Linked DNA regions of Tamandua tetradactyla. The protein of the gene in region 2 interacts with the protein of the main gene of each other region in a pairwise test. Links are inferred from orthologs where the notes say so. Each region holds a gene or a part of one and is shown on either strand. Other genes may lie near its edges. The genes, in order: TMEM11, KASH5, CDC73 and CYBC1.

The links.
Region 1: the proteins of KASH5 (region 2) and TMEM11 interact in binary tests that used the Homo sapiens proteins (3 or more experiments, as listed by UniProt). The two-hybrid records come from large-scale screens. The link is inferred for Tamandua tetradactyla from reciprocal best matches to the Homo sapiens genes KASH5 and TMEM11.
Region 3: the proteins of KASH5 (region 2) and CDC73 interact in binary tests that used the Homo sapiens proteins (3 or more experiments, as listed by UniProt). The two-hybrid records come from large-scale screens. The link is inferred for Tamandua tetradactyla from reciprocal best matches to the Homo sapiens genes KASH5 and CDC73.
Region 4: the proteins of KASH5 (region 2) and CYBC1 interact in binary tests that used the Homo sapiens proteins (3 or more experiments, as listed by UniProt). The two-hybrid records come from large-scale screens. The link is inferred for Tamandua tetradactyla from reciprocal best matches to the Homo sapiens genes KASH5 and CYBC1.

What each region holds. Positions count from the first base shown.
Region 1 is NC_135332.1:244,127-251,979, reverse strand, and holds the start of TMEM11 (transmembrane protein 11, mitochondrial), read right to left. Parts: upstream 3,023-7,853; 5' UTR 2,977-3,022; coding exon of another isoform or gene 2,915-2,976; intron 1-2,914. UniProt on the Homo sapiens protein: Plays a role in mitochondrial morphogenesis.
Region 2 is NC_135342.1:11,710,316-11,717,772, reverse strand, and holds the start of KASH5 (protein KASH5), read left to right. Parts: upstream 1-4,296; 5' UTR 4,297-4,425; intron 4,426-4,531; exon of another isoform or gene 4,532-4,726; intron 4,727-5,110; exon of another isoform or gene 5,111-5,154; intron 5,155-6,346; 5' UTR 6,347-6,422; coding exon 6,423-6,465; intron 6,466-6,930; exon of another isoform or gene 6,931-7,189; intron 7,190-7,457. UniProt on the Homo sapiens protein: As a component of the LINC (LInker of Nucleoskeleton and Cytoskeleton) complex, involved in the connection between the nuclear lamina and the cytoskeleton.
Region 3 is NC_135330.1:49,025,862-49,033,521, reverse strand, and holds the start of CDC73 (parafibromin), read right to left. Parts: upstream 3,119-7,660; 5' UTR 2,711-3,118; coding exon 2,580-2,710; intron 18-2,579; coding exon 1-17.
Region 4 is NC_135332.1:74,723,995-74,732,211, reverse strand, and holds the start of CYBC1 (cytochrome b-245 chaperone 1), read left to right. Parts: upstream 1-4,983; 5' UTR 4,984-5,086; exon of another isoform or gene 5,087-5,103; intron 5,104-6,049; 5' UTR 6,050-6,085; coding exon 6,086-6,170; intron 6,171-7,652; coding exon 7,653-7,694; intron 7,695-8,217. UniProt on the Homo sapiens protein: Functions as a chaperone necessary for a stable expression of the CYBA and CYBB subunits of the cytochrome b-245 heterodimer. Controls the phagocyte respiratory burst and is essential for innate immunity.

The DNA.
Region 1 (7,853 bases), on a different chromosome or scaffold from region 2:
GAGTGATTTAACCCTAACACCTAACGTCTGGCCCCCATAAGCCGGGCACTCTGGACCAGGCTTCACGCAGTGCTGCCACCTCGCATCATAAGCAGAAGCAGTCGGGTCCAACTTTCAGGAGAACACGGAGAGGAACTCCGAGTACGTGGCTAGACTTGCATTCCACCAGTGACCGAGAGAAACTCAGGACGCTCGGGCCCCGTGAGAGTGGACACGAATAGCCAGTCAGATGCCAGGGCTGTCTGAGAGGTGGTCCGAGCGCACCACGGTGGCAGAGCACACGTATACCTGCACTGTACTTTCCTAGGTGGGCAAGGGTGTCTCAGAGACACCGTTGGGACATGTGGCGTCCTGCTGGATGTGCCTGCTGCCAGCATGCTGAGTTCTGGAAAAGAATGCAGGCTACAGGCAGTCTGGCGTTCTTCATTACAGACACAGCTAAGTCCCTCAGTTTAATGGAGTGGGGAGAGAAATCCACACACAAGCAGCTATCCCTTTCCTACTTCCAACCCTCCTACTTCAGTCTAGACCAGTGCTGTCCTATCATTAGAACTTTCTGCAATGGTAAAAATGGTCCATAGCAGCAGTGCTCAATATAGTAGGTTGTGGGCCACAGCGTGGCCACTGAGCCCTTGAAACATGGCTAGGGCAAACAAGATGCTGAAGTTTCCTTTCATTTAAATTAATTTAATTTTAATTGCCATTTGTGGCTAGTGGCTATCAACTGAGCAGCTGTAGTCTTGAGAGCAAAGTAAAGTAAGGCTCCACAAGTGGCAGTGCTCTAAGCTGGACCCTAACCAACAGGCAGCTGACAGGGGCAATAATGAGGGGCTCTGGCACTGGGCAGGCCTTTAAAGGCCATGCCTCAGAGTCTGCAGCCTCTGGCAGATCTGCAAAGTTGGCCAGAAATGTTACTCTGTTCCCGTCCCTGCCCCAAATTAAATGTTTTTGTCAGTTTCAGCATAAAGCAGATTCCAATCAGCAACTCAGTATGTGCAACAACTTGGAAAAGTGATCTTATAATGTCAAGCTGAGATTTGAGTCAGTGCAAACCTAACATGGAACAAAGTAATTTAAGAGAACCATAAACAGCCTGCACAGTCATAAGACCCAATAATACACTCTGGCCTCATAATATATGGTGCTGGGCAATCAATTAATCCCCCTGCCCCACCCGAAACAATCTTTCCACCAACTGGGCAGCAATGGAGGAGTGCCCCAGAAGTCAGCTGGCTGGATAGGCAGCAGGGCAACGCGCCCATCCCTGCTTGGCATGGAAGAATGTAGGAAGCTGGATTCCGGCAAATGACCCTCTGACAGAACCTGGCGAGGGCCTTCCAGCCTAGGCAATCGGCGGGGGAGCCACGCCATGTTATCCGCAGAGAGGGCAGAGGGTGCCACCCAAACCCCAAACCTGATGCAACCTGAATGCCTACGAAGGCAAGCAGGGGCCTGTGATGAGTCCAGCTATCAGGAACTGGTGCACATCTGTCCTGTCCAAAAGAGTCAGCCACTACCCACTGTTCAGGGAAAGGTTTATATGAAATCTCTTCAATCTGCAACTTTTGGCAACTAATGTATTTCTTTTAAAAAGTGAGGGCCAACAGTCAAGGGCTGTTGAATACTTTCCTCAAGCCAAAGAAAACTATCAAAATCAGTAAGCTCTATTTTCTTGAGTTAGTCGAGACCTCAGTTTCTGATGGCACTGCCCTGCGCGATGCCTGGGAATCCCCGTTTGGCCCTCCCGGTTGCTTTCATCCAGTGAGGAAGGCCTTAGCCTCTAAGACCCTGCATTTTCTAAACAGGTTATTTCCTTTTACTGAAGGATAATGTTTGCATTAAAGATCTTGATAGTGTTTCCTAGTTCTTCAGGCCGAATGGAAACCATCAAGGTAGGTTCTTTCTATGGTCTGGTCTGTTGGAGTTAAAAAAACAAAAATACCTGTCTGCCACTGCTTTCCCAAGGAAGAGGAAATACAAACCAGAGGACGAAGACAACCCCGAGCACAAAATAAAACCCATCACAACTGCCAAACAGGAAGGCACTTCTGGGCTAGGACAGCCATGTGCACGCGATAACAGTAATGGATATGTAATGGAATAACAGGTGACAGAGTCACAGAGAAAAACAACGATTCTCACCCAAAAAAAGGAAAGAAAAGCAAAAGCAAAACAAACTTTCTTTTCTTGCTGATCTCTCTTTCTCCAACCAGGCCTTAGAACGGGCAGGGCGGTTGGATGCAGGCGGCCCCCGGCACACACCCTCCCCAAACTTCCAGTGGCCGGACAGTCTCGTGGCTTAAGGAAAAGCTGCGAATTCGACACGAAGCATGAACCCCACCTCCTTCTATCCCACCTTCTAGAAATAGGATCCGAGGATCCGGCCACCTTCAAAGAGACGCGCGCCGAGCCGCCTGCCCAGACGGCTCCCTCGGGAAAGGTCACGGACCGGCCCCTCAGGGCAGCCAGTCGCCGAGGCCGCGCCACAGGACCCAGGCTCGCCGCGGGGGAAGGCGAGGCCGCCGCGGGGGCGTGCAGACGTGCAGGGCCCGGCCGCGGGCCACGGCCTCCCCCGCCCGGCCGCCCCCGGGCCCGCCTGGCCACCTGGGGGCCGCGGCCGCGAAGGCCACGCGCACGGCCGGGCGGCGGGAGCTCCGGGCGGTCCTCGGGCCCGCGCCCGCCGCGTCCTCTCGCCCGGCCGCGGCCCCCTCTGCTCGCCAGGATCCCCCGGACTCCCCGCGCTCCGCGGCGCCTCCTCGGCCCTCTCCGAGCGGGCGCCGGCTCCCACCCGGATCCCGGGGCCTCGCGACTGGATCCCCGGAGCCCGGCTAGCGGGCACGGCCGGAAGGAGCGCGCGCGGCTGCGGCAGGGAGAGCGCCGCCCGCGGGATGCGCCGCGCGCCCGGCCCTCTCACCTCTCTCGGGCGCTGCCGCCGCTGCTGCCCGGGCCCAGGCGCCTCCTTCCCCACGCGGCCATCTTGGAGACACTCTGCTTGCGAGCGCCTCTGCCCCGGCGGCCGCGGGGCAGCGCGGGGGCCGACGGGACGTGGAGTCCGGCCCGGCCCGCGGCGGCGCGGGAGGCGGAAGCCGGGCCCACTGCGGAACCACTGCGCCCACAATGCACCGCGCAGCCGGAAGCCCCGCCCTTCGCAGGCCTCCCGGGACCTGGAGTCGGCCGGCGCGCGGGAGCGGGCCCGCCCTGGAAGGGTCCCGGTGGCGGCACTGTCTTAGAGCTTACAACCGCAGGGTTCAGACCTTCCGGTCGCAGAGCCCACCGGCTTCCCGTGCTTGGGTTTGTCGGGCAAGGAGGGGCGGGAAGGGCGCGCCTACGACTCCCAGAGGGCCGCGGGAGGCGCCCCGCGTGCGCGCCCTGCGCCGCCGCCAGCCCCGCCGCCAGCCCCACCGCCCTAGCGGAGGCCTCCCGGCCCGCTCTTCCCGTCCTTCCCGCCGGCCTCGGCCCGCTCAGGTCACGGATGGGCGAGGTGCCGCACGGCCCTTTTCGGAGGTAGTCGCCGCTCCCGCTCCGTCCCCTCAGCTTTGCCGGACCCTGCGGTCATTTCGGGCCTCAGACCGACGTGGTCCCTGCTGCCTCGGTGGCCGGTTGTCGGAGGCGAAAGCAAGGAACAGAAATAATGATACGTCATTGTTCTGAAGGACATAAGGATCTGCAGAAAGAAAAGCAAGGAGGGCCTATTTTAGGTAGGGCCAGCGGGTCCTGGGAACCCCTGCCCCACAGCCCGCTTCCCTGGCTGCCTTGGCAGGACCCTGATCTCACACTCCCGGTATCTTTGAAAACATATGCTGGGCGTATCATCCCACCCAACGGAACCTTGCCCCAGGACCTGGCATTTCCCTGTCTGGACACTGCCCTGGAATCAGTGTGAGGGTGGACTAACCAGACCTATAGGCTGTTTGGGGGATATCTTGCAGTTTTTGAACTTATGGTTCCTCTTCTGCTTTCCAGAGATAATGTTACCAGACATATTCGTTAGTTCCAGAAGTGTTTATTGAGCAACTAATACAAGTGCGAATCTGAGGTTCAGGGACAGTCCCTGTTCTGTATAGCCTATCTAGGGAAACTTCTCAAGCCAAGCAGGAGGGTGTAAAGTGACTCATCATTGAAGAGTCCTTTGGATTTCCTTCCAGGTCCCATTCTACGATATTTTTATCTGCTTAAAATTTCAGTCCCTCATTATTTGCAGGATGAAGTCCAAGCTCCTTAAGCACAATGTAGAGGCACCTAAATTTGGTAGCTTCCTACCTCTCAGACTCTCCTGCCTGGAACCCCTCCATTCTAGTAAGTAAGAGGGTTTGTGTGGCCCCAGATGTTTCATGCTTTGCCTAAAATACCTTTCCCTCCAGGCAAACTTTTGCTGTGAGACTTTGGACTTGTCTGATGTCTAGGAAGTACTGCTTTTCCAGTTGGATCACACACCCTCCTCCAGGTGCCATAAGTAGTTCACTATACAGACCTCTGAATAGTTGCCATACTACCTTGTTACTATCTATGAATATATCTGTCCTTTTCTCTGTGCCTGGAGCTTATAAAGGACAATACAGTGGGGGGTGACTGAGAGGTTTAATAGTGATTCTAGAACACCTGGTTGTGAAGCATATATTGTAAGAGTGCTAGCAATACTAAATGAGATGATACATGGATAGAATTTAGAACAGTGCTTGGCACAAGGTCACAATAACCACTTCTTTCAGTCTTCATAACAACCCGATAAAAGCACAGCTATTGTCAACATTCTCACTTTATAAATAGGGAAATTGAGTTACAGAGGGTTGTGTTACCAAGGCCACACTGCTGCTAAGGAGCAGCACTTGGATTTGACCCCGGGCTGGCTGCTTGCAGAGATTACTCCTCTCCTGCACTCAGGAAGAGCTTTGCAAACGCTGTCATTGTCTGTGAAAATGAGGTTCAAGTCATTGCCAGATGTACAACGTAAGTGAAAATGCTCAAAAAACTTGACCCAGGATGAACTTCCCATGTCTCCAGCTTTTCCATTACCCACTTAATTTCTAAATAGCCATCTGTTTCCAATCTGCTGACTTGAGCTGAGATTCCCAGAATGCTTCTTCATCACTGTTGGTGCACATGCAACATTGGGAAGGTTCAGAGATAGATTTGATTCATTCAGGATGAATTAACCAAGAACCTGAGGACACAACTTGACTGTGGAGTTGGAATTCCCATGGGCTGTCATGCAGTGGAGACTCCTGAAGAGCCAATGTAAAAGGTAGGTCCAAGCTGATAAAAAAAAAAAAAAAAAAAGTCTGCTGGATAGGACTGTGGGAAGATGACAGAGTAGGAAGCTCCAGGAGGAAGTCCCTCCAGTGAAATAGTTATTGGACTGGCGGGAACTGTCTGAAGCAACTCTTTTGAACACTGGTGTCAAAGGGAACACTGCTGCACCCAGGGAAAAGCTGGATAAAAGGGCAGGTAAGCTGCAGTACATATTGGTGAATTTCACCTTCCATGCAGCGACTACCACCCCCCCACCCCCCAACCATGTGGCAGGCAGCAGTGGGATGCAGCCCAGGTTCCTGGTATAGCTTGCTGGTACCAAGGTGGACTATAGGACATTAGTCCTCCAAAATGTGGGAGTGTGTGGTCTGCTCACTGATCACATGTTTGATCAGCTACGTCAGGTGCTGGGGTGGCTGGCCCTGAGGCTGTCATTGTGCCAAAGCACCAGAGGAGTCATAAAGATATAGCACACATTTTTTTTTTTTCTTTTCTCTTTCCATTCCCTGTTTGGGAGCAAAAGTACTTAGGAAAAGTCACAAATTGATGGCTTGAGCCCTTGATGGCAAAAATTATAATCCCACAGAAGTGGGAGAATGATATTTACGGACTTATAAGAGCATAATACTCAAAATGTCCAGTTCTCAAGAAAAAATTAAAATATACAAAGAAGCAGGAAATTATGGTCTAGTCACAAAAAAATTTGCCAAAATCATCTTTAAAGAAGTTTATACATTAGAATTATTAGTGAAACACTTTAAATAAACTTTTAAATATGTTCAGTGAGATAAAGGAAATCATACACAAACTAAAATAAATTAGGAAATTATTGTGTGAACAAAATATACAGAAATTATAAAAAGGAACCAAACAAATTTTGGAGCTGCAAAGAACAGTAATTGAAATGAAACACCCATTGGAAGAACTCAACAGCAGATTTGAATAAGCAGAATAAAGGATCAACAAACTTGAAGAAAAGACATGAAATTATCCAGTGTGGGGAGCAAAGTGAAAAAATAATGAAGAAAAATGAACAGAGCCTGAGGGGCCTGTGGGACACCATCACGTAAGCATCAAGTAAGCATTACCATCACTGGAGTCCCAGAAGGAAAAGTGGGAGAGAAAGGAGCAGCAAAAGTATATGAATAAATAATAGCTAACTTTCAGGAGGATGGTGGGCTGGAGTGGAGTGACTACACTCCTGCTCCATGAAACAGGATAGATGATGGGGGTAGGGGAAATACCCATGACTGCAGGTCCCAGGTCCTAGGAGTTCAGTTGGGCCTTCTGCATGGTAGTCAACCATTCTGCCACTGGAGTATGTGTACACCCTGGCTGACCTTATAATAGACCCTTAACTTGAATTGTATCCCCTACATGAGATCCAGACCTTGATTTGGCAGAGAATAACAAAGTATAAAAGGAAACGTTGAGCAGAAACCAAGTAAATACAAAACTTTAGAAGAGTGAAGGAAACCAACTTGCATAATAACCATATCAAGATAAATGCCCAGAACACCCCAGAAAATCACAAAGCACACAAATATCCAAGCAGAAATGGCCTAGTCAAACGGCCCAATGGAAATTTCAGAGGGGACACAGAATGTGGAACAACTACTCAAGGATATTTTTAAGGAAATAAAGGCTATCAGAAAGACACTGGAAGAGCATAATGAAGAATTCAGGAGGCTGAATAGAAAAATGGCAGATCTCACAGAAATGAAAGATACAGTAGACCAACTAAAAAATATACTCGAGATGCACAATAGCAGATTCAAAGAAGTGGAAGGAAGAGTGAGTGAACTAGAAGATAGACCAGTAGAACTAGAGAGCACAAAAGAATAAATGGCAAGAAAGATGGAAAAAATGCAACTGGGTCTTAGGGAAATGATGGATAACAAGAGGCACAAAAATATAAGAATTATTAGTGTCCCACAAGAAGAAGAGAAGAGCAAAGGGTTGGGAAAGTTAGTTGAAGATATAATTCAAAAAAACTTCCCAACCCTCAAAGACACAAATATGTACATCAAAGAGGCCCAGCAAACTTCAAATAGAATAAATTTGAACAAGCCCACTCCAAGACACATACTAATCAAACTGTCAGGTATTGAAAAGAAACAAAATCCTGAAAGCATCATGAGAAAAACAATCTACTACATACAAGGGAAAACACAGAAGACTGACTTCAGACTACTCATTAGGCACCATGGAAGCAAAAAGGCAATGGTATGATATTTTTAAGATCCTGAATGAGAAAGGCTTTCAACCAAGAATTCTTTTATCTGGCCAACTTATCCTTCAAAACTGAGGGAGAGATTAACAACTTCAAAGATAAAGAAAGATTGAGAGAACTAGTCAACAAGAGACCAGCCCTATAAGAAATACTAAAGGGAGCCCTGTCAGTTGATAAAAAAAAAAAAGACAGGAAAAGGAGGTCTGGGGATGGGCACAGAGTTGAATATAAGTAAAGGTAATTTAAAGGAAAAGAGAGAGAGAGAGAAGGAAAATAATATGTAGGTCTGGCAAATAAAAACTAAAGGACACAATGGTTGAATCAAGAACTGCTGTTGCAGACACTTCTTTGAATGTTAATGGACTGAACT
Region 2 (7,457 bases):
CAAAAGAAAACATGATCAACAGTGATTATCTTTGGGGAGTAATGATTAGAAAGAGGTGTTAGGGATACCTCTCTTTCTTAATATAGACAATGATTACACTAGTATATTTATTAAAATGTTATTGGCCTGTATATTAAGATTTGGCATTTAACTATATGTATGTTACAACTTTACCAAAAAAAAGGTTTTTTTAATTACCCAGACCTCAAAAAAGGAAAAAAAAAAACTGTAGAATAAACCAATCAATGAATGACAGAACACTGGTTAATAAAACTAAGAGATACACCACTGACCAGGCTGTCCTATGAAGACGCTTGGCATGCATTCTGACTGAACTCTCCTAAAGCCCCATGAGGTGGGTAACAATTGTCTCCATTTTGGAGAAGAGGAAGCTGAGCTTCAGGAAGTGAAGCCACTTTCCAAGGTCACAGAACAAAGGCACCAGGTTTTTTAAATCCATACCTCACCTCTTGAAGCACTTCACCACTCCACCTGCCAAACCAGTTCCTTCCCAGGCTTTATAACAGGCCACCACCTAATAGCCAAAATAATAACTACCAATTAACAGGGACCTTGTATAAGCCTGGAATTATCCCCTTGAATCCTCCAGGTAACCTAAGAGATCATTATTATCTCTATTTTTGGGATGAAAACTGAGGCTCTGAGAAGGGAAGTCATTTTCCCAATGTCACAGGAAGAGAAGAAGCCAGAGTATAAACCCAAGAGTATCTGACTCCAGGATCCATAGCCTTAGCCATTACTCTACACTCTTCAGTAGTTACCCTTGACTACTGAATTCATCCACCCATCCATCCATCCATCCATCCACTCATCCACCCAGTCATACATTCAGCAAATATGCTTTGACTGCCACACTGGGCCTGACATGTCCTAGTCCCAAAACAAAGTCTGCATAGAGCTCACATTCTAGAGAAAATTACCAATAATAACCTAAACATAGCTCAACTTCCCTGGCCATTAGAGAAATGCAAATCAAAACCACAATGAGATATCATCTCACACCCACCAGAATGGCCATTATCAACAAAACAGAAAATGACAAGTGCTGGAGAGGATGTGGAGAAAGAGGCACACTTATTCACTGCTGGTGGGAATGTCAAATGGTACAACCGCTGTGGATGGCAGTTCGGCGGTTCCTCAAAATGCTGAGTATAGAATTGCCATATGACCTGGGCAATACCCGGCAATACTCAAGGGACATAAGGGCAAAGACACAAACGGGCATTTGCACACCAATGTTTATAGCAGCATTATTTAAAATTGCAAAAAGATGGAAACAGCCAAAATGTCCATCAACAGACGAGTGGCTAAACAAACTGTGGTATATACATACGGTGGAATATTATGCAGTTTTAAGACAGAATAAAGTTATGAAATATGTAACAACATGGATGGACCTTGAGTACATTATGCTGAGTGAGACTAGCCAAAAACAAAAGGACAAATACTGTATGGTCTCACTGATGTGAACTGACATTAGTGAATAAACTTGGAATATTTCGTTGGTAACAGAGACCATCAGGAGATAGAAATAGGGTAAGATATTGGGTAACTGGAGCTGAAGGGATACAGACTGTGCAACAGTACTGAATACAAAAACTCAGAAATGGACAGCACTATACTACCTAAGTGTAATACAATTATGTTAAAACACTGAATGAAGCTGCATGTGAGAATGATAGAGGGAGGAGGGCTGGGGGCATAAATGAAATCAGAAAGAAAGATGTTAAAGATTGAGATGGTATAATCTAGGAATGCCTAGAGTGTATAATGATAGTGACTAAATGTACAGATTTTTAAAATGTTTTTGCATGAGGAAGAACAAAGGAATGTCATTATTGCAGGGTGCTGAAAATAGATGGTAATTAATATTTTAAAATGTCACCTTAGGTGTGAGACTAAAGCAAACAATGTTTACTTGGCACAAAATTTATATTTTGACTAGTGCATTTCCTAAGATAACTTATGTAGGTAGTTTGATTGAACACCATAAGTACTTGGAATCTCAGGTAGGACATGAGATTTTGTTGGTTTGCCCAGAGTGATGCCCTGATGAATCCCAGAGTGATTCGATCAGTGAGTGGAAAAGTATTTGCAAAGTCCCCTTCAGGGAATGGTGAGAACAGAGAGAAATTCAACTTTCCCAAGTTGAATTCTTGATATTCTCAGAAGCAATGTGGACAACCAAGCTATAGGCTGAGCCCCCAGTCTTGGGGGTTGTTCATATGAAACTTAACCCCACAAAGGATAGGTCAAGTCTACTTAAAATTTAGGCCCAAGAAAAGAACTAGCAAAACAACAGAAAAAGATATAGAATGTTAATATAGAGGAAAAAAATAAAAATAATAATAATAGTAAAAAGAAAAAAAAAGAAAAGGAAAAACAAACAAACAAACAGACAGACAGACAAAAAAAAAAGATTTAGGCCCAAGAGTTATCCCCAGGAGAACCTCTTTTGTTGCTCAGATGTGGCCTCTCTCTCCAGCCAACACAACAAGCAAACTCACCACCCTCCCCCTGCCTACGTGACATGGGACATGATTCCCAGGGGTGTGGACCTTCCTGGCAATGTGGGACAGAAATCCTAGAATGAGCTGAGACTCAGCATCAAGGGATTAAGGAAAACCCTAGAATGAGCTGAAATTCAGCATCAAGGGATTGAGAAAACCTTCTCGACCAAAAGGGGGAAGAGTGAAATGAAGACAAAGTGTCAATGGCTGAGAGATTCCAAATGGAGCCGAGAGGTTATCCTGGAGGTTATTCTTAAGCATTGAGTAGATATCACCTTCTTATTCAAGATGTAATGGAGAGGCTGGAGGGAACTGCCTGAAAATGTAGAGCTGTGTTCCAGTAGCCATGTTTCTTTTTTTTTTTTTCAATGTAATTTTATTGAGATAGCTCTGCACACCACACAATCCATCCAAAATAAACAGTGGTTCACAATACATCACATATTTCTGTATTCATCACAATGATCATTTTTAGAACATTTACATTACTCCAGAGAAAGAAATAAAAAGAAAAAAGAAAAATCCCATACATCCCATACCCCTTACCTCTCCCTCTTACTGACCACTGGCATTGCACTCTACTCACTTTTAAGACTTACAATAGAGATAGATTAACTAACGCAGTGCAGTTTTGACATGTGTATATATATATACAAAATCAGTGAAACAAAGCAAAACATCAAGAAGTAGGTCCATACAAACACAGCAACTGACCCTTATTTTTGCAATATAGTTAAACAATCATTACCAACGACCAGAGTAATGGATTACAGTTCAACAACTTCTGGCTAGTCTAAAATACTAGACCCTATGAAGAAATATCTATATAATAAGTCAGTATATTTTGTTTGCCTTTCATGAGAGAGATTCAAGCATGCTTAGAAGCCCAGTGTGAAGAATCCAGTTGGGAATGAACAGCTAACTATGAAAGAGAGAAGATGAGGAGTTGGAAGAGGGAGGGTCCTGAGCAGGCAGAAGGAGATGGAGTCTTAGCCATGTTTCTTGAGGATGGTTGTATAATGATACAGCTTTCACAGTGTGACTGCGTGATTGTGAAAACCTTGTGTCTGATGCTCCTTTTATCTACCACGTCAACAAACGAGTAGAACATATGGAATAAAAATAAATAATAGGGGGAACAAATGTTAAAATAAAAATAATAATAATAACCTAAACATAGACTGTCACCTGGTGAAACCATTGAAGACCACGTAAACAGAAAAGGTGGTTAGAGGGACAGGGGTTCTATGTAGACAGCCTAGCAGGGAAGGATTCTGAGCACGTCACAGCTGAATGAATGATGCCCAATGAACGAGAGGGTAGATAAGATTCTGTTTTTGTGTCTGGACTATCAGGGAGGCAGAGAAGAAGGGACACCTTTTGTCCCACACCCCCCTTCTTGAGTATCCATTGTTTGTAATTCTCCTCCTCTATGTAGAAAAACTAGGACTACTTTTCCCCTCCTCCCAAGCCGAACGAACCAAATGCTTTGAGGAGCACCCTTCGGGGTCCTCCTGACACAGCGTTCCCGGAGTCACAAAAGGAATCCGGCGTGAGAGCGAGAGCCGTGAGGAGGGAGAGGGCGGGACATTGTGACGGGAATGGGCCACCTGGCAAGGAACAGAGCGTAGGAAGGGCACGGTGTGGGCTGGACGAGCGGTCCCTCAGTCCTCCTCTGCCTTGCTCAGCGTCATTTAGCAGAAGCTTAAGGCACCAGCAGACAAGGCCTCGCAAAGCTCCCGCAACTGCCCCTCCTTCGCCGCAACTGCCCCTCCTTCGCCGCAACAGTTAAAACGCATCCACTGCCCCAGCTTCGCCAACGCGCACGCGCAGTTGCCACCAGCGTGGGCGCGAGCCCGGGCAGACCCACGCATGCGCGACACTGCCGTTACAGGTAACCAACAAGAATAGCTCGCGCCCTCTCAGCGATGTGCGCTTGCGTCAAGGAGGGAGCACGGCGGGGAGGGGTGGGGCTTAGTTGCTGCGCATGCTCTCGCACGCGCAGTCCCTCACCGCGCGCAACTGCCGTCGTTTGTTAGTGGCCTTCGTCGGTGTCTCGAGATTTGGTCGCAGCTCTGGGTGTGCCCTGCGTGAGCGAGACTCCCCACAGAATCCGTGTCAGAGCCGCTCCAGGAAACCTGACAAAGACCCCCAAACTGTAGGCGAGACGCCCCAAATCAGGGCTTCTAAATCCTGTAAGAGTCCTCTTTGAAAGCCTGGCAGAATCTTGTAGAAAGCCTGTCAGGCTTCTCTGTCAGACCTTCCCAACAAATCCTTTCAGGGAGTCCCCGAAATCCTGTCAGGGAGCGCCTGAGATCCTATCATACCCCCGAAATATGCTAGTCAGACATTCCTCCCCAAATCCAATCAGAGACACCCTCATGCCCGAGCTCCTCAGGGGTCTCGTACGTCAAAGCCCGGTCCTGCTCTCCTCATCTGAGCCGAGCCTCGGTGACGCTTCCTGAGTTAGTCCCTGAAACCTAGGCAGGACACAGGCCCCACGTTAAGCGTCGCTCTCTGCACCCCCGAGGGTTGTCCAAACCCCGGAAGCGTCTCCCTTCAGACGCCCCTTTTTCTAGGACCTTCTGAGTCCGCGCGCCCGCTGGGAGCTGGAGAGAGCAGGGTGAGGGGGGACATGGTGAGGAAGGAAGAGGGCGGGGTGGGGGGGGTACCGCTTTGTGGGGACACTGAGGACCCCACCGACTCGGGCGCAGACCCCCTACCCCCGCCGCGGTCAGCCCGGATGGCGCCTGCCCCCCAGTGAATTAGTGCAGCACCCAGTCGCTTTGGGAAATGTCCCGGGGTCAGCCCCTGCCGTCCTGTGGTGGAGCTGGCTGTGACCAGAATTGCACGGGGGATGGCCAAAGCTCAGAGGAGGGGCCCTGGGAAGGCTACCCAGGGCTAGGCAGGAGTGACGCTAGTGCCTGGGGGTGGTCCATGCCTGGGGGAACGTGGTTCTCCGGGAGAAGAGCAGGTTTGAGAGTACGTGCTGAGCTGCCCCGGGGCATGGTGAGGGCAGGGGACCTGGGAGTCTGCCGATGCGGAGAAAAATGTCAAAAAGAGGGAAGGCATTTTGGGGACCACCCTGCATGGGGCTGGGGCACTAGGGAGCCATGGAAGAACTGGGAGCAGGGGGAGCCCGAAGTCCAGTGACAGGGTGCCCTGGTGGCCCAAGGCAATGCGGGACCCAGAGACAGCTCCTGGCTCAGCCCCAGGGTGGGGAGCAGAGCATTTACCCAAGGGAACGTCTTAAGTGGAGACAGGAAGGGCTGCCAGGGGTCAGGGACTGTGACACTGTGTCTGAGAAGGAGATGGGTGGGGCCAGGCCACCCAGGACCTTAAGTGCCAGGCCCAGGGTCCAGGTTCTGTCCCCAGGATGCTGGGGAGCCACAGAAAGGCATTGAGCAGGGGAGGGCAGATTCACTCTGGGGCCTGGTGGAGGATGGACGAGGTAATACCAGGAGGCTAGAGGCTGGGATACAGTCCAGGGGGAGAGGACGAGGCCTGAGCTGAGCCCGGGGCCTTAGGGAAGGAGAGCGAGACTGGTAGTCAGTAGATAGGAGGGACGGGGCTTCAGGGAGGAGGGAAGACTGCCCAACTCGACCCTCCCCTCCCCCTCCCCCCCACTAGTCACCCTTGATCTCTGCCGCCCCCCCTCAGGCCCCCATTTTCCCAGCCCACACCTCCAGTCCATAAAACAGGCCCTGGCAAGCTGCCCCAGTCCTAGCGGGGGCGGGCAAACAGGTTAGAGCGCCAGGAGGGCCCCAACTGCGGATGACCGACTGAGCAGGCTGTCCTGCCCGTTGTCCTTCCAGGAATGATCAGGTCCCTCCTGGTGATGGAGAGAGGCTGTTAGTGTTGCCAGCTGCTGCCAAGCAGTGGGGGTGGCCCATGGAGCTGCCGGAGGGCCAGGCAGGAGGCCGCACTGCAGAAAGTAGGTGACTGGGCCCCTGTGTGCCCTGGGGGGGGGGGGTGAGCAACAGGAGCAAAGGGGTTCCAGGCTGGGACTTGGGGACCCGGAGAGGGGCAGGGGGCAGGAGCTGACACTTCCCCTTCCTCAGGGGAAGCCAGGAAGCCTCTGCTCACGTTGTTCCCCCTTCCCCACTTCCTGGCAGGCCCATGCTGTGCTTCCTTAGGGTCTCTGCCCAGATGCCATCTCTTTCCTGTATGTGAGACTGCTGTCCTGTTATACTCTGTCCCCTTTCCTTCTATCCTTTTCATCACGACACTGACGTGCTTACTCCCCCTTCATCTGTTTCCTTCAGTCTGGTGTTCTCACTCCCCAGGGTAGGGCTGCCCAAGAGAAGCATCACGCGAGCCACATATGTGACTGTAAATTTTAAAGTTTTTTAGCAACCAAATTAAAAAAAGAAAGAAAGAAGAACAATCAAGATGAATGGTAATAATAGATTTTATTTAATCTGGTATATCCAAAAACAGTATCCTTCCAGCATCCAGGCAAAAACGAAAATGTACTGATGAGCTGTGTCCTCTTTTCCTGGCTAAGTCTTTATGATCAGCGTATATTTTACACTATCAGCATCGTGTGTTGCACTTGTTGTCGTCCAGGTGCTGGGTTGCCCTCTCTGAGACTCACCTGCCAAGTGGAGGGGAGCGATGGGGCTGTCCCCAACAGTTGTCCTGACAATGAGGTGTGGCTGCGAAGCAGAGCTGGGATGAGCTTTCCACAGGCAGTACGGATTTCGACAGAAAATTATTCCTGAGAGCACAATATTCTGATTCCCTTTTCTCAAGTGGGAAAGCTGAGACTCAGGAGAGAAGGAAGTCTTTGGTCAAAAGCCATATACCCAGAAGTGATAGAATTGTTGGTTCTGCATTGCCAGCACCCTCTGGGAAAGCCTAGACTAATGGGGGACGCAGGGCCAGAGCCCCTGTCTTAGAGATTCCCAGTTGTCCAGTAGCAGA
Region 3 (7,660 bases), on a different chromosome or scaffold from region 2:
GGCCTTCCTTTCCAGTCCTGAAATAATTAAGGCAAGATTTTTACTCACAATTATAATTCAACTCCTTGGGCTTAAAAATTAATTTTACATATTTACTATTCTATACCCACTTTGCTATCCAATAACGGATTAATCATGGTTAACAAAAATACACATACAATATAAAATCTAGTAAGTAGAAATGTCTTTTGGGCACAAGTAAGCAAATAACAAAGACAGACAATAATAAAAAGCAAGAAGTAAGAAAAGCACTCAAAATTCTTACTCTAAGGTATTTTAATTAGAATTAGGCCCAAACTGGGTTCTGAACTTTGTCAACAGAGGACCCTAACTGTTATGTATTAGATAGGATCCATAAGAGAAAACAATCACACTGTCCAGAGTAGCGCAACTATTATTGGTGCTAAAGCTTACAAGAAATTTATCCTATGGCTCCTGCTAAAGAAGAGACTGATAACATCCTCAAAAACATTCTTCCAGTAAATGAAACAATGAATTTCAAAGGACTCTTATTACACACACCAAATGAGACAAATAATGTAAACCAAAACACAATTCTACTTGTGAAAAAACAATGTGTTCTTGGGGTGCAAACTCTCTAATGAAAGCACATATTACTTAATAAATGTTAATGTCCAATCCCACCCTTCCTACTACAGTCTCCCATACAGAAATAGAACAGTCAATGTATAAATCGAATTCATCTAAATATAGCCCACTATAACCAATCCCAAACCTATTTTTTCGCCAATATTCCTATTTTTCCTCTAAATCAGTGTATGTCGAACCATGCATCACCATCAATTATTTTACCATGGAGGGAAAACATAGAGGTAACAACTAGTTTCTTGGTTTTTTGAAAACAGTGTACAAAAGAATAGAAAAAAATAACAGAATGCACTGTATTCAGTAAGAGTAAATATTGTTTAATGTTATAAATACATGCATACACACATCTATGTATATATTTACATGTCCACATGGACACATACATATAAATTAAATGGAAATATATTTCTTGGTGTGATTTGCAACTGAACTTCTATTCTAAGCATTCCTTTATCACTGGCTTCACTAGACTGTTGTTTGTCACCTTTCCCCTTCTAGTTCTCATGGCTGTATGTACGTTCCCTCATTCAGGAAAGTCTAACCCCCATTTGCACAAACAGAATTCCTACACATTCTTTAAAGCTCATTCATTCATTCATTTATTAAATAAAAATGCAATGGATGTCTATCTGGCAAACAAGCTTCTATGAAACTTTACCTAATACCTCCAGTCAAAAGTGACTGCTCCTTTTATGAGCTAGAAAACACTTCACATCAATTTATCTGTTTTACCTCCTCTACTGCGATTAAGTTAACCTCCTCTGAGGCAGGGCTAGGGTCTTAAAAATTTTTCTGTTCCTCAGATTGATTACGGAACTGCTCTGAATACTGAGTTCTCCCTTTAAATCATTTTATAAAGAAAATAATCTTCATTAGAAATCCAATTAAATGCAATTCTTTCAGTGATAATTCTTTTGAAAATAAAAAGCAGTTAGATAACTCATAAAAATGTCACTTCATCAACATTTCACAAAGCTAATTAAACCATAAACCTCTAGGCCAGAAAACAAAGACCAAAAAAAAACAAAACTAAATTTCCCCTAGCTTTTCATCAACTCTTCACAAAGCCCATTGCTCCCTTCATTACATCCTATTCTACCTATTCGATTAAACAAAACTGAGGATGTAAGTTCGGGCTCAAGGTTCTAATATCCAAATGAAGCACCAAAGATAGTGACATCACTAAAAAGGCCACCAAAGATTATTAAGCCTGTCTCTAGATGTTTTCCGGAGTTATTTAAATTCAAGAAACCCACGTGGATCAACATTCTAAACCATCACTCTTTAACACACTGTCCAAAACCATTCACAGCATCAGTTTCGTACTTAGATCTGTAAAGCTCTATTATTATACATCAAGCAACTTTCTCCCTGAGTAAACTCCCTGCTTTCACATCTAACAAAGATTTTGATGACTACTGCAAATTCACCAAATTTGCTTGCGTCCTGACTTCACAAAGTTGGTTCTCTCTTCTTGAGGGGTAATCCCCCTCCCCAATCACCAATACAGAAAAAAAAAAAAAATAGAACAGCTACAAGCGCAGCGGAGATAGTTACAACACATGGCAGCCACCAAGAGAAGAAAGAAAATAAGGAACAAAAAGAGACGTCTCCGACACCAGACATCGCGCTCCTTTGCATCTATTTTCAGGAATATTTGTGCACCAGCCCTACACAGTGATGGCACCCAATATATATTGGTAAAATCGACTGGCAAAGTCGAAAACTCCCACGTTATCCTTCCCATTTGGCTTTTCAAAGATTTAAAGGGATGGACCACTAAAATGCGCTTTTCCCCTTCCCTCCTCGTCCCAAAAGTGCAACTTCTGCTCTTGAGAGAAACTTTTTCCCAGAGCACCTCTGTTTTACCACATCCCCAAAGGAAACGGGGGGAGGGGTTAAAAAGGAGATCACCTGGGGGCGCCCAACTCTTCCCTACCACCCACGAGCCACAGCCATGCCGGACTTACCCCCAAACTACATAGTTGGTCTTCACATTCTTGGGCCAGGAGAACTCCCCGAAGATCACTTCGTCTCCCTTCACCACAATCTCCTTCTTCTGGATGTTGTACTGTCGCAGAACGCTGAGAACGTCCGCCATCTTCACCCCCCTCGCCGCCGCCGGCCCCGGCCACCGCCGCCGCGCCTGCCTCCTCCTTCTCTGGTCGCCTCGCCCTCCTCCTCCGCCGCCGCCGCCGCTGCCGCCGCCGCGAACCAACAGCAGCACCACTAACAGCCGTCTCGTCTACGACAGCAGCAGGGGTAGCAGCCACCAAGGCCGCCGAGGACCCCGCGCTATATGGCAAGGCCCCGCCGCCGGCTGCCCGCGGAGAACGCCTGACTGCGCGTCTCCAGCGCTGCAAGGCCACCGCCAGGGGGAGCCGCGACCGGTCGGGAAAATGCCCCTCCCAGACTCTTACTTGGCACAGAGCCGACTCACGGCAATAAACGCAGAACGCAGGGATACCGCGCTCGCGTAGGGCGCACGCACGGGGCACATTACCGGGCGCACGCGCGCGGACCACCTACCCACTCTAGGAGCGCTCTCGCCGGGCGACAGGTGCGCGCGCACCTGCACGGCGGGTCAGCCCCTGTTTGACTGGAGAGCGCACAGAGCGTTCAACGACCTGCCTTGAGAGGGGCGGGAGACTTTCTGTTCCCCACCTGGGCGAGAGTGGAACTCGGCAAAGGATTTGCAGAAAGCAAGAATCCTCTTTCTTTCTGAGTCGGACCCTGGCCTAGAAAAAGGGTTCGAGAGCTTAGCAATTCGAATAAGCCCATTTAGAAGGGTGCTTCTTTGTTTTTTTGTTGGTGGTGGTGTGGTTTGTTTTTTTTCGGGGGTGGGAGCGGTGTTTTGATTAGTTGATTTAATGGATTCGCGTGGTGGAAAAGAGCAAGTCCAGAGGAGATGAATTCCGTGAACTGCTATTTATTGGGTGCTATCTGACTTGAGTCAAGTTACATACCTTCTGGCGGCATTGATTGGTTAATGGATAAAATGGAGTTAATATATAGATATTAGCTTCAAGGATGTTGTGAGGATTGGGTGAGAAGGTGAAAGCGTCTAGCAAATCATTAAAATATCGTAAATATTGTATTCCCCACCGTTCCTTACATAATGACTTCCCAACCTATCGCCTAACCCGCTCCCCTAATCCCAAAGGATATAAAAATGGTTCCGTTCTAGGATGCTCATGGAAAAATCAGAGACCAGAAACCTCAAACTGTGCGAATAAGAAAAACACTGTCGGACTACCCTATTTTTATTGGCACCCAGAAGGCTCAATGGTGTCTTTGCTGTGCTCGAAGTGCTGAAATAAATTCAGTATGCTATGACCTGTTCTGTGTGCCTTGAACCAAACATATCCTTTGGGCCCCATAATTTATTATTATTAATATTCCTTTTACTGTAGCAGGGGAGAAGCAGGCAAGTTTGTGATTGACAAAATTTCTTGACTTGCTTTGAAAGATATCAATTTTGGTTATGTACAGAACCGAGGGATATACATATAGAACTATATGGTTCATTTTCGATGTTTTATAGCCATCTTGCACTATGAATTTGAGAAACTTTCCTGTTCTGCAAATATTTTCACCCTTTGATATTTTCCTGAACTTCACCCCAAAACACACACTATAAAGAAAGGATTACTCTTTTATCTATCCCTCACACTGTCTACTATATTCGTACTTATATCGGAACCTCCAGTAGTAATTGACTGTCACATCCCCCACCCACACTCTAGTCTGAAATTTGTAGAATTTTTTAAAATTGGATTAGCTTCATGGTTATTATAAAAACATCACTCATTCTTCTGCATTTCTTGAGTGGGAAATGGCTAAGTTATTTTTGGCATGCCTGCAACATTGCATAACCTGTGCCCATGAGAGTATGTTGTGATTGCAGTCATTTGTCATTTGTGTCAGCAAGGGGGAAAAAAAGTTATAAAAGTATCCACGCAATTTTCTGTCAAAATTAATACATCAAAATAAACCACTTTTTTCTTTTACATCAACATAAATTTAATCCTAATCTCTGGGGCCATTTGGCCACCATAAAAAACTTTTGGTTACAAACCAAGTCATCAAAATGTAATCACATTCAGGGGATGCTAACCGTAATATTTTAACATTTTCCACAGAGGAATAACGAAATGTAGCAACAGTAGAGAATGTATGAAAGTGGCATTATCATAAAAAGCTGTTGTTTTAGTGGAAAATGAAGGTGTGAGATTAAAATAGTGGCAGCTGGATTGAGAGGGCAGGATAAATTCAACATATATTTAGGAAATAGTCTGTAGTTGAAAACAGAAGAGTAAAGAAAAAGAGAAATCTAGGACTTTCTGATTTTTTCTTGATTTCTGTTGATATCCTCCAGCCAAAGACCACCAAGCACATGCCTGTAGTTCAACAAGGTTAAGTTTATTGACTCGTGGAGAGATATAATCTGCACACTATTGGAAACTGTGGGGTGTTTCAGTTAAAGGTAAAGACTTATTGTAGGATTTGTGTTTGTGTTAAGTGATTTGGGGGGAGAATTCAAGAAATCAGGACTTTGCCCTGGATTGGATACTGAGGGAAGCAGGAGTATTTCTATGATTAAGTATCTTAGTACTTTTTGTCCAGAAGGCAAGGAAGAATGAAACATGGTTAAAGTTATAGCTGGTAAAGAAGCAGTGACTCATATTATCCAGTATAGAGGGTTGATTGGGGTCAGTTTTATAGTTTGGACAATGTTCTTGCTTTTGTCAGCATTCAGATATGACTACAAAGTGGTCTTGTTTTGGTCCTGCTCTGTCACTATCACAGAGTTGCTGACATTAGTGCTCTGTGAAATAATGTTTAAAAGGAGAATAGCATGGCGTCTGAGGCTGCTATTCTCTTTCTTAGTACCCTTATTTGGTCAAGAAGAGACAGTCATATCACAGGACATTAATTTTGTGATACTCAGATATTTACCATTGCCATGTCTGTGCTGATCGGAAAGTTGTTAAGGTAACAAAGCCTATAATTGGACTACTGTAGTAATTCTTTTGCTCCTTGTGTTTGCAGATTGAGTTGTTCAAGCCTCTGAACACAAGTGATTACCAGAAACACAATGGTTATTAAACCTTGCAATATATCCTGGTAACAGATCATCAAAACATGTCCCAAAGTCTAGGTGGGACTTTTCTAGATGACTTTTCTTTTAGAATAGTCATGATTGTTTTAATTGTCCTGTAAAATTTACATAGATGCAGCCAAAAAAAAAAAAAAGTGTTTATTATACCATAAAGTCCCCTTGGCAACCTAAAAGGAACTCAAGTGCCATATGATTATCTATGATATCTCTGGCTAATGAATTTAGATTTGGACTTATTTGTTGTTCAAAATGTGCCAGAAGTTGTGTCATTTATAACTTCTGCTAAGGTCAGAAGCAAGATTTGGCCACCATTTCCAGTTGTATTGTTCCCACTGTGGAAATTGCAGCTAACATGGTACACCAGAAGAGGGAATCTGTTATTTCACCTGGAAATTTCCCCAATTAGCCGGAGCTTGCTTCTTTTTTTTTCACTTTTTTTTTTATGGTATAGTATAACATATGTACAAAGCAAAGAAATAAAAAAGCAATAGTTTTTCAAAGCACTCTTCAAAAAGTGGTTACAAGGTAGATCCCAGAGCTTGTCATGGGCTACCACACAATCCTCTCATATTTTTCCTTCTAGCTGCTCCAGAATGTAGGAGGCTATAGGGCTTAAATACTTTCTTATCATCACAATTGACTTTTTTTCCTTCCTTGCTTGTGAACAATAACATATATACAAAAAGCTATAAATTTCCAAGCACAGCACCACAATTAGTTGTAGAAAATATTTCAGACTTTGACATGGGTTACAATTTCACAATTTTAGGTTCTTCTTTTAGCTGCTCTAAAATACTAGAGACTAAGAGATATCAGCTAATGATTCAGCATCCATATTCCTTTGTTAAAGTCTATCTTCTATGTATAATTCCACCATCCCCTTTGATCTCTCCATACCTCTTATTAGGGTTGTTTGGGCTATGGCAGTTCTAAATTTTTCATATTGGAAGGGTCTGTCACTAATGTGGGGTAGGGAGATGGAACTATCTGATGTTCTGGAGAGGCTGGGCTAGGTTTCAGGACTTATCTGGACCAAGGACCCATCTGGATGTTGTAGGTTTCTGGCAAGTTACTCTAGTGCCTGGAACCCTTGTGGAATCTTATAAATTGCCCTAGGTGTTCTTTAGGATTGGCTGGAATGGTCCTAGTTTGGGGTTGGCAGGTAATTATAGGTAACAAGCTTGTATAAGACAAACCTCTAGAGTAGCCTCTTGACTCCATTTGAACTCTCTCTGCCACTGATACTTTATTAATTACACTTCTTTTCTCCCATTTGGTCAGAATGTAATTGTTGATCCCATGGTGCCAGGTCTGGATTCATCCCTGGGAGTCCTCTCCCACGTCACTAGGGAGACTTTCACCCCTGGATGTCATGTCCCACGTAGTAGGGAGGGCAATTATTTCACTTGCAGAGCTTGGTCTTAGAGAGACTGAGGCCACATCTGAACAACAACAGAGGCCCTCCAGAAATAACTGTTAGGCATGCCGATAGGTAGTCTAAGCTTCTCCACTACCTACATAAGCTTCACAAAAGTAAGCCTCATGATCGAGGGCATGGCCTATTGATTTGGGTGTCCCAAAAGCTTGACACAGTATCAGGATTCCCTGATGGTAAGATTTAATAGTTCCACAGTCTTTCTTCCCTCCCTCAGGGGACTTTGCTGATATTTTTTGATTATCTGGTTAATATACTCTAGGATGTTTCCAGGCATTACAATAATCTATACAGGATTAAAGGACCTCTTTCTCATTCTGTGCTTTCTGTGTTTCAGTTGTTCAAATGAGCTGTGCAGATAGGTTGAATTAGATTATGCAGTACTGAAAATTTCAGTTCCAGATCAAATAAACCTTTCTTCCATTGGTCTCATAGAGTATGTGTGGTTCTAAAATATAGACACTGTCTTCCTTACCCCTGTGTTCTGAGTTATT
Region 4 (8,217 bases), on a different chromosome or scaffold from region 2:
ACAGCACAATACTACCTAGCTGTAATACAATTATGTTAAAACATTGAATGAAGCTGAATGTGAGAATGATAGAGGGAGGAGGGTTGGAAGCACAAATGAAATCAGAAAGAAAGCTAGACGATAAAGATTGAAATGGTATAATCTAGGAATGCCTAGAGTGTATAACGACAGTGACTAAATGTACAAATTTAAAAAATGTTTTTGCATGAGGAAGAACAAAGGAACGTCATTACTGCAGGGTGCTGAAAATAAATGGTAATATTTTAAAATTTCAACTTCTGTGTGAGACTAAAGCAAAAAATGTTTATTTGGTACAAAATTTATATTTTGACTAGTGCATTTCCTAATATAACTTATGTAGATAGCTTGGTTGAACAACATAAGTACATGGAACCTCGGGTAGGACGTGAGATTTTGTTGGTTTGTCCAGAGTGATTTGATCAGTGAGCGGAAAAGTATTTGCAAAGTCCCCTTTGGGGAATGGTGAGAACGGGGAGAAATTCAACTTCCACAAGTTGAATTCTTGATATTCTCACAAGCAGTGTGGACAACCAAAGCTATAGGCTGAGCCCCCAGTCTTGGGTGTTGTTCATATGAAACTTAACCCAACAAAGGATAGGTCAAGTCTACTTAAAATTAGGCCTAAGAGTCACCCCCACGAGAACCTCTTTTGTTGCTCAGATGTGGCCTCTCTCTCCAGCCAACACAACAAGCAAACTCACCACCCTCCCCCTGTCTACGTGGGACGTGACTCCCAGGGATGTGGACCTTCCTGGCAACGTGGGACAGAAATCTGAGAATGAGCTGGGAATCAGCATCTAGGGATTGAGAAAATCCTCTCAACCAAAAGGGGAAGAGTGAAATGAGACAAAGTGTCAATGGCCGAGAGATTCCAAACAGAGTCGAAAGGTTATCCTGGAGGTTATTCTTACCCATTAAGTAGATATCACCTTGTTATCCAAGAGGAAATGGAGAGGCTAGAGGGAACTGCCTGAAAATGTACAGCTGTGTTCCAGTAGCCATGTTTCTTGATGATGATTGTATAATGGTATAGCTTTCACAGTGTGACTGTGTGATTGTGAAAATCTTGTGTCTGATGCTCCTTTTATCTACCTTGTCAACAGATGAGTAGAACATATGGAATAAAAATAAATAATAGGGGGAACAAATGTTAAAATAAATTTAGTTTGAAATGCTAGTGATTAATGAAAGGGAAGAGTAAGGGGTATGGTGTGTATAGTTTTTTTTTCTGTTTTTGTTTTATTTTTCTGTTGTCTTCATTTCTTTTTCTGAATCGATGCAAATGTTCTAAGAAATTATGATGATGATGAATATGCAAGTATGTGATATTATGAATGACTGATTATATATGTAGAGTAGAATGATCACATATTAAGAATGTTTGTGTTTCTTTCCCGTAATTTTTTTTAATTAATAACAAAATTAAAAAAAAAAAAAAAAGAAATAGGTTTTTTCCCTGTAGGGTTCCCCACTGTGGTCAACTGCATCTCTGTGGGGTCCTTTAGCATATCCCTTTGTATTTGGAAGCTCCTGTAAATAGGTCCTTGGATAACTCTAGAAGTTTGATCAGATTCAGAATCAAGGTGTTTAGCAAGAGTACTTCATAGATGATGTATAATTCCATGAGGAGATTCTGTTACCTAAATGTTGTCTTGTGCTCTTAGCAGCCATTGATGAAATTGTCTAGATCCATTGTAGGTCATGAAAGTGATGTTTAAATTCTACCATTTCTCACATAGCGTTATAAATCCATGGATTTAAAAACCTGATGATTTTCAATTCATTGTAATTTTTCTTACTGATGCTCAAATAATCCTTTTTTTTTTTTTTAAAGTAGTGTGAATCTCTTATTTAGGTTCCTGAATTCTTTTGACAAGAACTAACGGTCTTTAGTATCTTCTTTCTTTCTGATACATTTCCTTATAAATTTCTTGCTTCAGACTTGGAATTAGTATTTCTCCAAAAATCATGATGCCTTTAGAATGAATTGGTATTGAAAAAACAGAAAACGGGTACTAGAGTTGCTCATTGCTATTGGGTTGGTCATTTTTTCTAGGACCTTTCAGCAAACAGTACTAGGAAACATAACACATGCAAAATATAACATAAGTTCATATAGGTTTTTCTAATTCAAAATCAAGAATACAGGAATCTTATTTAGCCTCATTGAAATTATATCTGTGACTCCTTTCTCCTGTACTGAAATTTCAATTTCTCCATGGCACCTACATAATTATTCATCTCCTTTATCTCATATTACCCACATAACAGGCTCAGACTAACAATGCTAACGATGCTAACAATGCTAACTCTACTATCCATTTCAAAAAATATGGATATATATATATATATATATTTACACCCCCATACATACCCTTCTTAATCTATGGCATAAAACACATACTTTCTCAACCCTGCTTTTCTCAATCAAATATATATGGATGAGCGCATTCTATAGTAATATAAAGATACTCATTCCTTTTCATAGCTGCATAGCACTCCATCATGAGGGTTGTATGTATTTGTCAGGGTCCAATCAGAAGACAGAACCCACACAACAACTTAAACGGGGGGAGTTTAATATAAAGATTTATTAACTATAAGTCAATTCGCACGTGGAGAGACATTAAGACTAGGAGAAATGTGAAGACTGTAGGAACAGCAGAAATAAGGAGCTGCCACCTCTTCCCCTCAATCTCTTTACCACCAGTTCTTCAATGAAGAACTCCATCCCACCGCCTGGGGTTTTGTTGGAGACTTTGTTGGAGAGGGCTCAGCTGTGACTCACTGGTTGGCAAATAAATCACTGTTGTTGGCAGAAGTTGCTGAAAATCTGCCCTCCAGCGTGCTAGGGAAAAATGGCACAAGAGGTGTCTCACCAGAGGCACTTTGCTACCAATAGCCAGGAGGGCACCAGGGGAAGCTGCTGGACACTGGGTGCTGCTGGCTGACGGGCACCAAAGAGGCTGGATGCCACAGAAGCCCTGTGTGCTTCAAGAGTCCGCAGAGCAAAGCTGGGCAGAACCAGGGACCAAGAGGGCCTCTTCCTGCAATGTCTCTGCAGTGCCCTCTACTGACAAAGCTTCACACTGCTACAGGAGAAAATGAAGCACTCAGATCCATCTTCACAGAGCAGACAATGAAGGATGAATTTGGAGCTGAGATAAAATATAATGATAATTGGCACAACATATGCATTTTATTCAAGTAATCCTCTATTAGTGGTTAGTGTGTTTATTTCCAGTCTTTTGCTATTACCAATATTCAGCAGGACTTTTAACAAAATCAGATATAACTTGTTCAACTTAACATTTGTAGAATGCTTGTGTCTTTATTTTTAAATAGCAAATAGTCTAGCAGGAAAGGTGAAATTGTGTAAATAACTATAATGCAAAGTAGAATTTGCTGGATATCAATAACTGAGATGTCAGTTTGTCCTATTTAAATTCCAACACACAAAATTCTAGTTGCAGTAATCAGGAAGGACTTAAAGGAGGTTCTGACAATTAAAATAGACCTTAAAAACAGTGTACAACCTTAACAGTGAAGTAGGCCATTTCAAAAAGATGCAACATAAGCTGAAGCATTAGGTCAGGGAAGCTCTAGTGTTCAGGCAGAGCATAGTTTTGTGGCAGCTTAGAGCAGTGGTTCTCAAAGAGTGGTCCCAGGAACAGCAAATTCTCAGAGCCCCACCCAATACATAGTACATTTGAAACTCTGCGAACAAGGTCCTCCAATCTGTGTTTTAGCAAGCCCTCCAGGAGATTCGGACAGATACTAAAGGACAGATACTAAAGTTTGAGTATCACATGCATTGAGTATCTGAAGAAACTATAACAGTTATCTCCAAATTTTCTGAGCATGTACCTATCGATAAAACTCATGAGTTTTTGCAGACCAGTGTATGAGTATGCATTTATAAAACTATGTTATGCACAATTGTATTAATATTTATATAAATTACAAAAAGGTATAAAAAGATAAAAACAAATATAAATCCAGCACCCCACAGTCATCCTGGCAATCTCACTTTGGAGACCACTGCAGTGGGCAGTGGTTGTGTGGTAGAGACTCTCCAGTTCCAGGTAGGGTCCTTCCTCTTCTATCTGGCTGGAAATTGAAAAGTGATCTGGGAAGGCTGTTCTTCAGCTATTTAGCAGCAAAAATCAGTGAAAATTTAGTAGAGTGAGGAAGAGAGGACACTTAGTAGGCCCTGACAAGCTGTTCCTGTGGAATAAAATGTCTCCGACTACATCCTTCCTTCCTAAAGATTGGGCCAAGTTAATAACAGAAAAAATGCCATCTGTGGGGTTTACAAACATGCGTGAATGTTTCGTTTTCCCAGCTACACTGAAGGTTTTCTAAGTCAAGGATCCAGACATGCTCATCTGCCTTTCTCTCACTGTGTGCATGAGAAATGCTAGTTATCTTCAATTTTTTTTTTTACCTCTATTTGTATCTTTATTGGAATTGCATTGAATCTACAGATCACATTAGGAGAACTGACATCTTCAGAATATTGAACCTTCCAATCCATGAACAACTCTTAGTTCTACGTCGCTCACCAAAGGGTTTACACTTTTTACTGTAAACTTCTTGCACAACTTTTGCTAGACATTTCTACGTAGATCATATTCTTTTTTTTTTTCTATGAAATGTGTGTGTTTATTTATTATAGTTTCTCTCAATAGATCATATTCTTGAAACTATTTTTACCAGCTGTTTCTGGGGTATAATTTACACATGTTTACACGCATTAAGATTTCAATAAACCGGTCACACGCGAGCAGCCGTCGACAGGACACAGGTAAGGGCAACTGGCGAATCCTCAGGCTTCCGGTTACCGACACAGATGGGCCTCGCTTGGCCCGGAAGTGGACTCCGCCCCACCTCCGCGATCCCGGAAATGAATCCCGCCCCGGAACCCTGATCCTGGAAGTGAGCACCGCCCTCTCCCATGAGCCCGGAAGTGGGTGCCGACCTGCCTGGCGAGCCCGGAAGCGAACGCCGCGGGTCCTCGCCTTCCACTTTCGCCGCGCGGCCGGGGTCCTTCGCGGCGGCACAGGTGCGCACGGCTTCTCGGTAGGACTCCTTGGTCCCCGGCTGCCCTCCGGGTGTGGCGGAGCCGTGAGGGCGGGAGGGGAGGCCGTTCCCACGGGCGCCGCGCCGGCTTTCCTAGTGGCCCCTCGAAAACGGAAGTCGGGAAGCGCGCGCGGGGCTTTCACTGGCCGGGGTCTGGGGGTGGGTGGGCTCGGCCCAGTAGACGAGAAGCGCGTCTGGCGCCGAGGAGGCGGGCAGGGCCCGGTCCCCTCGCGATGAGGAAGGCGGACGCGTGCGCGCCGCCGCTCTCTCCGCCCGGACGCCGCTCTCACGGCGGTTTGACGGGCGCGTCCCTTCCCGCGCTTGTGTCCTTTCGCGGGTTGACCGAGTGGCGGCCCGCACTCTTCGTGGAGGGCCTGCGCCCCAGCCCGCCTTGCGGCTCGCATGGGCCCCGGGGCGAGCCCCACTGACGAGGCACTGCTGTCGTGCGGCTTTCTCCTTGGGGAGGCAGCTGGAAACGGAGCAAGAGAGCTTGGCTGCAGGAAGTGACGGCGGCCCGAGGCGCCGGGGTCCGCGGGGGGCGCAGCTGTCCTGGATAACCGGGCTGGGAGGGAGGACCGGGGGCGTGGGGCGGCGGCGGGGCGAAGTCTAGGGTTAGTCTGCGTGATTTGAGCAAACGACGTGGGCCTGTCCTAGCAGCAGGCGAGCTCAGAGCGTGACTCGGACTAGCCGCGCCCTCGCGCTCCTTCCCGCTTCCTCTCGGCGGCGGACGCAGCCGGTGGGGCGGGTGCGACCCTCCACAGAAGAGCTTCAGGGGGAAGCAGACCCTGGGGCCGACTCCACACACTGTAGAGACCACTCACCTTGGCTAGTGGGGGTGCTGCCCTTGCGGGGGTGATGGCGGAGGGGCGGGCCCTGAGATGGCCAGGGCCAAGGAGGGGCAGGTGGCGGGCTTGAGGGGCCTCATGGCTGGCATCTGTCCCCGCAGCCTCGGCCTTCTGCGCGGCGCCCCCAGACCGCAGAGATGTACATGCAGGTGGAGGTGCGCACGGGCTCCCGCCTGCATTTGAGGAGGGCACCTGGCATCAGGTCCTGGTCGCTCCTGGTCGGTAAGGATTTATTTCTCTAAGAAACAAAAGAAACACTGACTTTGGAAGAAGAATAAAAATGAAATGAAAAATTCCTTGTTTTACTACCCCCGGAATACAGCCACTATTTTTTTTTTATTAATTAAAAAAATTAACAAAACATTAAGATATTCCATTCTACATATACAATCAGTAATTCTTAATATCACATAGCTGCATATTCATAATTTCTTAGAACATTTGCATTGATTTAGAAATAGAAATAAAAAGGCAACAGAAAAAGAAATAAAATGATAACAGAGAAAAAAAGATTATACATACCATACCCCTTACCCCTTGCTTTCATTTGCCACTAGCATTTCAAACTAAATTTATTTTAACATTTGTTCCCCCTATTTATTTTTATTCCATATGTTCTACTCTTTTGTTGGTATAGTAGATAAAAGGAGCATCAGACACAAGGTTTTCACATTCACAGAGTCACATTGTGAAAGCTGTATCATTGTTCAATCATCATTAAGAAACATGGCTACTGGAACACAGCTCTACATTTTCAGGCAGTTCCCTCCAGCCTCCCCACTACATCTTGAACAACAAGGTGATATCTACTTAATGCATAAGAATAACCTCCAGGATAACCTCTTGACTCTGTTTGAAATCTCTCAGCCATTGACACTTAGTCTCATTTCACTCTTCCCCTTTGATCAAGAAGGTTCTCTCAATCCCTTGATGTTAATTCTCAGCTCATTCTAGGGTTTTTCTCAGTCCCTTGATGCTGAGTCTCAGCTCATTCCAGAATCTCTGTCCCACGTTGCCAGGAAGGTCCACACCCCTGGGAGTCATGTCCCACGCAGAGAGGGGGAGGGTGGTGAGACTACTCATTGTGTTGGCTGGAGAGAGAGGCCACATTTTGTTTCTTCGTATGCTTTTCAGTTTTTCCTGTATTCATGTTTTACAAACAAGGCATCTCTCTTTGCCACTTATCTGGTCTCAGTGAGACTCTTCCCCTGCTCTCTGGGCCCCCCCATCCCGGCCCCTGCTCTGTGCTCAGTGGTTTACATCTTCAGCACCTTGTACTGGTCTGGAGCTGCCCCTCCACATACCTGCCCAGCAGGAGCTCAGGGGCAACTGTGCTGTTCCCTGCGACCCTGGCCGGGGTTCTGCTTGGCCTCCTGGCTGCCATATGTCTGTCCTTGTTCCGCACCTGAGCACCAGGCCCTGCCTTGGACGTTTTCAGGGGTGCTTGTGGAGGCCAGTATCAGGGTTTCAGATGAATTTCTTAGCTGTCCCCCCACTTCTGAATCCCAGGCTTTCCTCTTCCATCCTGCCCCCACCCCTCCATCCCGTCTGCAGCCACCCCTGGCAAGGGGAAGGGCCTGTTTGCCTGGGGCTGTGGTCCTGGGGCCAAGGCATGTGAGAGCCCTGGAGCCAGCACCGCTGGGTCAGGGAGGAGGTAGGACCCTGGGTGGACAGCCAGACAGAGGCTCTCATTCTCTTTTCCAGGAATCCTGTCTATTGGCCTGGCTGCTGCCTACTACAGTGGAGGTAAAGGGCCTGGTTCTTGACTTGCCCAGCTGTTCGGAAAATAGCGAAAAGAAGGGGAAACTGTCCCTCATGACCCTCGGGGACCCCGCCACAGTGCAGCAGTGGCCTGGAGTGGCCAGCATGTCTGTTCTCAGGCGCGGGTACCCGACCTGGGCTGCCTGCTGCTTTGGCCTCATATAGATAAGCGTTTTCCTGTGTCATGAATGTTCTCCTAAAAGCTACTCTTTAACATCTGCCTGGGACTCTGATACAGGGTGAACCCACACTGGACACTGCCTCCTATTAGCGTTCCTAGCTTTCCACCACCACACCCCATGCCACCTGATTGCCCCTGGACAAGTACCTGGGAGGGCGGGCATCCCGCTTGATGGAGCAGGCACAGCAGTGCTGCAGATCTGGCAGACGGGTCAGATCCAGCCAGCTCTCTGCCAGGATGGCTGTGGTGTGGGCGGAGGTGCTGGGGAGGGACAGCCTCCTAGTGGACACCTTTGCTGGGTCCCCAAACCTACCAGCAGCCTCTGCT